3 linked regions of the Kluyveromyces lactis genome follow. The main gene of each other region encodes a partner of the protein of the gene in region 2 in a complex. Links are inferred from orthologs where the notes say so. Each region holds a gene or a part of one and is shown on either strand. Other genes may lie near its edges.

Region 1 (2,105 bases), on a different chromosome or scaffold from region 2:
CCGCTCGCCGAGGGTTCAAACCCCCGGTGAGTTATAATCAAGCAAATCCCTAACGGGATTTTCGCTTCGTGAGAAGGTTGTTTCTAATGGAACTTCAGCTTGAGCCCTATTGTCGTTGTTATAATAAATCAAGTCGCCAGTTCTTCTCTAATGGAGACCACGTGACATGGGAGGGACAACGGACGGACAGTTTAGCTTGTCATTTACGACAATGCCTAGTTGAGTGCAATGCAGGGAGTCTGCAACTTACGCAGATAACACAATACCGATTACCTTGTGTCTGAGGAGCATCTTTTTTTGGCCAGTCATATGGCAATGAAATGCAAACCTTTCTATATACAGAAACAGAATGAATATACATGGGAGAGATAGTCCTTAAAATCTATGGTAATCGTAGTAGCTACGATAAAATGTTATGATATAATGTTATAATATAATGTTATAATATAATGAAGTATGTACAGAATAAAATTTGAGGTTGGTAGGGAGAATTTCTTCTTTAAACCTTTTAACGACCCATGGTTTGATTCATGGCAGCATTTTGCTCTTGGAAACGTTGACCCACACGTTCACTGTGTTTCAAGAACTTTTCTGAACATCTCATTATACAGTTTTGTTCCTTAGAAGTAAGCTTAGCGGATGTGAAGTCGTTGACACAGTCGCTGAAACATCTTTCGACCAAGTTGGAGTATAGACGCATGAAATCCTTCATTTGCTTTTGTTCCACGATTTTTTGGAACTCTTGTTGTTCCTTACCATTAAGTTGATCCATTGTGTGCTTGCTTCTTTTCTTATCCGGGGTATATGATAATTAATCTTACCAATTGGATGACAAACAGTCTGGAGGAAGTTTGAGAGGGCTTATCGCAATGGTTGTAATGGTTTAAAACTCTTTTTCGATGATGTAGTTTCTGGTTTTTAAATCTCACATAATGAAAGAGAGAGAGAGAAGCAAACAAAAAATTTTCAGTTCAATACAACAGATCACGTGATCTTTTTGTAAGATGAAGTTGAAGTAGTGTTGCACCGTGCCAATGCAGGTGGCTATTAGATTAAATATGTGATTTGTTCTATTAAGTTTCCTGTATAATTAATGGGGAGCGCTGATTCTCTTTTGGTACGCTTCCCATCCAGCATTTCTGTATCTTTCACCTTCAACCTTAGGATCTCTACCCTTGGCGAAAAGTCCTCTGCCAACAATGATGATATCTGATCCACCACTTACAACTTCGTCGACGGTTCTGTACTGCTGACCCAATGCATCGCCTTTGTCGTCTAAACCTACACCTGGGGTCATGATTAGCCAATCAAACCCTTCTTCTCTTCCTCCCATATCGTTCTGAGCAATGAACCCAATAACGAAATCTTTATCACTCTTTGCAATATCAACGGTACCCTTAGTATATTCACCGTGTGCTAGAGAACCCTTGGAAGACAATTCAGCAAGCATCAATAATCCCCTTGGTTCTTTGGTGACCTCTTGCGCACCTTGTTTCAAGCCAGCAACAATACCAGCACCAGTAACCCCGTGGGCGTTGGTGATATCAGACCATTCTGCGATACGGTAAACGCCCGATGTATATTGTAATTTGACTGTGTTACCGATATCGGCGAATTTTCTGTCCTCAAATATCAAGAACTTGTATTTCTCTGCCAATGCTTTCAATGGAACGACAGTACCCTCATAACTGAAATCATCCAAGATATCAACGTGTGTTTTCAAAAGGCAAATGTATGGACCCAACGTTTCAACAAGTTTCAATAGCTCATCAGTCGAACGAACGTCAAGAGAAGCACACAAATTGGTCTTCTTTTCATCCATTAAACGTAAAAGTTTCGATGCAACCGGACTTGCATGAGTCTCAGCTCTACTGGTATATGATTTTGTGGACATGGTGCAACTAATTGACGGGAGTGTATTGACGCTGGCGTACTGGCTTTCACAAAATGGCCCAATCACAACCACATCTTAGATAGTTGAAATGACTTTAGATAACATCAATTGAGATGAGCTTAATCATGTCAAAGCTAAAAGTGTCACCATGAACGACAATTCTTAAGCAAATCACGTGATATAGATCCACGAATAACCACCATTTGATGCT
Region 2 (2,671 bases):
CGAAGCTGCGATCTAAACAAAGCATTGTACAACTGTCCCAGCATAATACCCCAAAGAAGTCAAATACATTTCCAAAACGAAGACAACTGAAAGAGAAGCTTGGTGATCCATTGCCCTTACCTTATCTTGACCCTCAGCAAAAAATGGAAGTTGGTCGTGACCTCGAATCCAGATGGAATACTATAATATCGAACGCAAAGGTACGACAGACTAAAGCAGAGCCTGTGAATAAGGCCAAGAGGGTATTAGAAGCACCGTCTTTTGAAAGTCAAAGAAAAATTTCCCGCAAAGTGTTTCAATCTAGTGAAATAACTACATTGGAATCCCAATTGAAGGACACTAGTGCCAAGCTAGATCGGTTGATCGATATTTTGCAGGACAAAGAAACTTTAATTGGCAAATCAATGACCTATGAACCAGTGATATGGTTAAGTTGTATCATTATTCTCGTACTTTGCAATGTATGGGTGTATCATTACCTATGATAAAGACTGAATTGATATATAAATGCACGTATTTACATGTAAAGTTCATAGATATCATGACCTGGAGTCTATCTAATGTACAAAGAACGGACGCTTAATGCTTAGAGTTTCAAAAATATAAACTGATCATTCATCGAAGTCATCCTTGGGTGGTTTCTTATTCTCGTTTCTCATGTATAAATCAATGGCCGTAGAGAAGGCAGCAAAACCCGCACAACCCACTAATGCTGCCTGAGGTCCACTCTTGTATGCCAAGCCACCGCCTGTCAAACAACCTGCAGCTACACCGTTATATATATCGTTCTTTGCCCTTAACGATTCCACCACACATTCGACACCTGAATAAATCATACCGATGTAACCGAAATTCTTTGCACTGGAGTAGGATCTTTTTCCCATATCACTAAACTGGATCTTTATCTGCTGTTTCAACGGTAGATCTGCAAGCTCTTTCACTTTATTTGGTAAACCTGGAGCATTGGTTGGAGCTGGCGTATGTAGAGGTGTGTCATACGCCATCGATGCCATAAATAAACCGAAAACACCACCTAATGCAAAACCAGTAACACCACTGATGGCAGCTTTTCCAGGACAAGAAGTCATAAACTCCACCATCATTTGGGCACCTTTTTCACCTTGTTCTTCAGGCGAAAGTTGATCAAATGGTTTATTCTCTGGTGGAGAAACTTGGTCTAAACCAAACCCACGATACACCATTTTATTTTAACGTTTCTTACTTCAACAGTAGCTAATCTTCCACAACTATCCAATACTTCACGGTGTCCTTTTACTACTCTGTTCAACGATGTATATATTTATTTCAATATTATTTTCGATGAGCTTTTGATATTAGCTATTCCAAAGCTTTTTTTCTTTCGATAAGAATAAGCTTCAACTCTGTCAATATGTCAATATTGACAGAATGCCTCATCGCATGCACAGAAGGCAGCATTTTAAGCAACTGTATGCGGAATATGAGACCTTTTGATAATGCAAACGATAGCCAGCACATTAGACTGCTACTATGGGACAAATTGTAATTCATTATGGTCTCTCGAAGAAGAATTATCTCGAAAATTTTCAGCATATGCAAAGAATTACGAATTTCCAAAGCTGCATCGTTCGTATTTCCATAGCGTTGAGCGGTATTGTCCTGTGATTTGTTCTCAGCTGACTTGGTCTCATGATGGTACTTCTATTTGCGGCGTTTTTGATGATTTTGGAATACGACAGTATCTTATACCAGAAGATCCACTTGTAGATCATTGGGTTCCTTTCACACGATGGTTTGTGAATGGTTCCATTATTTCCTCTGTCGTCCACCCTAGATACTCACTGTATGAAGAGGATTCAGCATATCAAACTATACTTTGTTCTTCAAGAGATCTGCCCATAAAATTGTACTCATTACGATCGGACAGCATCAATGAAACAAGTTTATACCATTACTCTACTGTTAACGAAGAAAATGAAGCCTTTGAAACGGCTTATTCAATGACAATACTTCAAGACACTATGCATTTCATGACTGGATCTGTTAGAAACAGGATAACTATGTATGATTACAACCGACATAAACCGATATGGCAACATCAGTGGACAAAACAATCATGCGGGAAGTCATCACAGAAGGCTATCGTATCATGCTTTGATGAATATAACGAGGTACATGACAATGTCAGGTTTGCTGGTACTTATAAAACAGAAGTGCTACGAATTGATACTAGAAGTACTAAATCTGAACTAATAAGTGAGCGTGATTCATTGGACTCGTGGTCAAATGGAATCTACCAAGTCATTAAGTCGGATAACGGACATTATTTGTACTGTATTAAACGTAATGCAAGAGAAATCGATGTTATTGATACACGAATGTTAAAATCTAGAATTAATATACTGGAACTTCCATTCAAAATTGGTAAGCAGAAATTCAAGGCATCCTTGAACAGTGCCAAAGGTTTGTTAATTGGATCGTACGATGGTCAGGTTGCATGCTGGGACAAAGATTGCATTGAATTTGGTGGGTTGGACCCACTTCAAACCGCTGGTACTGGAATAAAGCCAACGAATAACATTCTTATTTCAGATGAGAATGTAAGGGTGAATTGCATTGCAACGAATCCTGTTGATCCAAACACCCTCGCTATTTCAACCTCGACTGATAAATTTGCAGATGATGAGGGTAT
Region 3 (2,731 bases), on a different chromosome or scaffold from region 2:
AAGTATGTTCTCTTGACATGAATAAGTTTCATGAAGGAATGAAAAAAAAAAAACCTCAATAAGTTTCAAACCCAAAGCACATTTAGTAATCTCCTCAACTTGAGGCGGTTTTTCTTCAGCAGAGACGAATGCAAAGTCTTTTGCATTCAGGATTTTATTTCATTAAATTGTGTCAAACCGGCTGTAATCTATGTGATTGCCAAAAAAGGCAGTTACAATGAGATTGGATCAACAACTTTAAACGCATGTAATCATGGGCAAAAAAACGAACAGCAAAATACCCAAAATGGTCTATTCAAAGTTAGATTGCTTTACCCCGTTTGAACTTTTGGCGAGGAAAAGGACCAGCTGAATCATCAGACTCAAAGACTAAATTAAGACTATGGTAAGAATAAATAACACTAGATGTAGCACTAATAAATAATAATGATAATAAATAAATGAGAGTCTAATCTGCTTGGAGGTCAATTCTCCGATGAATTACATATTGCTTGGACAGAGTACCACACTAAAACCTTCCAAATACATATGCTCTCGAATCCCCCTTATCTTTATCCCAAAGAGTAGAGACCAAATCTATTAGTCCGTTATTTTCCGTTTCTAAAACATAAATTCCGTAAAGACTGAAGGAGCTTCCAAGTGCCAAAGCGAATTTAGCAGCCTTGTGCCAGAATCCGAATTTTCTCTTAGGGATATAGTCAATAATGCAACTTGTTATACCTAAGTACGCATGTATTAGTATTGTACTGGCCAATAGAGAATCAATCACTGGGAAGGGGAAACCTGATGCAAAGGTAGCAGAAGACATAGCTCCATACAAAGGAACCATTGTCAAAGGAACTAACGACACTGCAGTGATACGTTCATAATCCCAGTGATACGACCCATGGAACCAATTCGGTTCTGTCTTTGGTAAGTTATCGTTTACGTTTCCGGTAACTCCGCCTGGAGGTGGTGGGATTAACTTGTACTTCGCAAACTTACTGGAACTAAAAACAGCTGGTAGCCTGATACCTCTCAACTGACGATGAAGCAAAGAAGTTCTTAACATGACTGGAAGTGGCTTGTTTATCATTGATCTGGCAATCATTATGTCGTCTTGGCTGCCATCCTTACTTTTCAGGTACTTTTCGATGTATGCGAAGTGATGAGATGAGCTTAGTCAAAAAATATTTCATTTTTCACTTCATCATCGATAATGAGATTGGAGCAAAATTGATGAGATCTGAAAAGAATACAGAAGATGCAGAATAACCAGAAAGGCAGTTATAGCGGTAGTGGTTTCTGTTAGAGGCTCTATGAATTAATTCAATCGTAAAATTTACATTCTAATTACAATGTATCGGTGACAAGTTTTTCTAATGTAAACTAAACGATGGTCGTACTGTTTACGTTTTCCTATTTTTCACTTGAAACTGTTTGTCATGCGACAAAACAAAATGGTTAAAAAGTCTGTGTCAGTGTGGAATAAACACAGAAACTGTTCCTAACTAGCTAGAAAACGATCCATTACAATCGTTTTCTGTTAGGATGAAGAACTAGTAAACCATGTCTGTACTGAGTACGTTGCAAACAAATGTCACGGGACCATGGTTTTCGATACAAGACAAGCATCTTATAAAATGTGTGGCCTATTCATGGTTTTTGTTTATACTTTTCATACTTCAGTCAGTGCTAGCAGGGTGGATATGGTATATGAATCAATGGTCCAGAATCATTTCATCAAAGTATTATTACAGGGGTATTATGAAAACTGAGAAGATTCAAACCATGGTTAATATATGGATTAATGAATTCATTATATGGAGTGTGCTAAGAGAAGATATCCAAATTATTTACGAGGGGGAAACAATCAACACAAAATGTAAGAACCAACTAATACTAAGCAACCATAGATCAATTATCGATTATACTTTGATTCAATCCCAGTTCGGAGCTGAAAATGTAATTTTCGCAGGTTGGACTCGTTTAATGAAGTATCCCAGTTTTAAGCATTTTTGGACAATATTCAGGCATGATGAGAATGACAACGTTTCGGTATCAAAGATTAAGAAGTTTTATGGGCCTGAGAATTTGGTAATATTTCCCGAGGTGAATATCTTCACACCAGAAGTTAAATTGATTGAAAGAAAGTTAATGAAATTGAAATACAAAGGATTACCTGTTTTGCATAACGTTCTATACCCCAGATTTGGTACTTTCGTAAATCTGATCAAAGCTTTTTCAAACAGCAATGACAGAAAATGGTGTCGCATGTTGGAGTACCTTATTCTTCCGACAGAACCGATATTACGTGACTCAATGAAGTTACTAGATTTAACTTTGGTTTATTACAAGATCACGTTGAACTCAATGGGTGAGTATAAGTTGGAGCAAACAATTCCAGCTCTATGGGACATATGGTCGTTGGAATCACCAATGATACTATGCATCCACGCATCGTACCATGATGTTGATAAACTCACTAAAAAGAAACCCAAACAACTAGAAAGTTGGCTAGAAACCCAGTGGTGTGCTAAGGATAAATTGATAGATACCTTTGAATTGAACGTGGAGATAGTCTAAAAAATGATACAATATTGTATGTGTACATTCCGGGTTGATGGTATTGCGAGAAATATAATGAGTTCTGTTTCAGGTTTTAGCTATTTATTACATTACAACAGGAAATTGGAATGTAGGACGTCATTTATGCAAGGATCAATAAGTATTAGTTTATTTATTCTAAATG

Evidence for each region. Proteins that work in one complex are often made in the same cells at the same time.
Region 1: the proteins of TIM22 (region 2) and TIM9 are in contact, whole or in part, in a cryo-EM structure (PDB 6LO8), measured with the Saccharomyces cerevisiae proteins. The link is inferred for Kluyveromyces lactis from reciprocal best matches to the Saccharomyces cerevisiae genes TIM22 and TIM9. Residues at the interface, in NP_010064.1 of Saccharomyces cerevisiae: Glu196, Asp197, Arg199, Pro200, Pro201, Gln202, Asn203, Asp204, Phe205; in NP_010894.1 of Saccharomyces cerevisiae: Thr37, Asp38, Cys39, Asn41, Asp42, Phe43, Thr44, Lys51, Glu52, Cys55, Lys58.
Region 3: the proteins of TIM22 (region 2) and TIM18 are in contact, whole or in part, in a cryo-EM structure (PDB 6LO8), measured with the Saccharomyces cerevisiae proteins. The link is inferred for Kluyveromyces lactis from reciprocal best matches to the Saccharomyces cerevisiae genes TIM22 and TIM18. Residues at the interface, in NP_010064.1 of Saccharomyces cerevisiae: Ser145, Leu146, Arg147, Tyr168, Lys169, Ala170, Gly171, Pro172, Ala175; in NP_014940.4 of Saccharomyces cerevisiae: Ser76, Tyr77, Asp80, Tyr81, Ile84, Leu109, Tyr124, Tyr162, Glu165, Thr166.

The regions. Positions count from the first base shown.
Region 1 is NC_006041.1:2,034,784-2,036,888, reverse strand, and holds TIM9 (protein transporter TIM9), read right to left. Parts: upstream 773-2,105; coding exon 509-772; downstream 1-508. Other genes in the region: URA3 (orotidine-5'-phosphate decarboxylase), read right to left, coding at 1,091-1,894. UniProt on the Saccharomyces cerevisiae protein: Mitochondrial intermembrane chaperone that participates in the import and insertion of multi-pass transmembrane proteins into the mitochondrial inner membrane.
Region 2 is NC_006040.1:726,750-729,420, reverse strand, and holds TIM22 (translocation channel protein TIM22), read right to left. Parts: upstream 1,203-2,671; coding exon 612-1,202; downstream 1-611. Other genes in the region: KAR1 (Kar1p), read left to right, coding at 1-485; SWT21 (Swt21p), read left to right, coding at 1,476-2,671. UniProt on the Saccharomyces cerevisiae protein: Essential core component of the TIM22 complex, a complex that mediates the import and insertion of multi-pass transmembrane proteins, such as mitochondrial carrier family members, into the mitochondrial inner membrane.
Region 3 is NC_006042.1:2,330,623-2,333,353, reverse strand, and holds TIM18 (Tim18p), read right to left. Parts: upstream 1,091-2,731; coding exon 509-1,090; downstream 1-508. Other genes in the region: MUM3 (Mum3p), read left to right, coding at 1,549-2,565; GTPase-activating protein RNA1, read right to left, coding at 2,720-2,731. UniProt on the Saccharomyces cerevisiae protein: Component of the TIM22 complex, a complex that mediates the import and insertion of multi-pass transmembrane proteins into the mitochondrial inner membrane.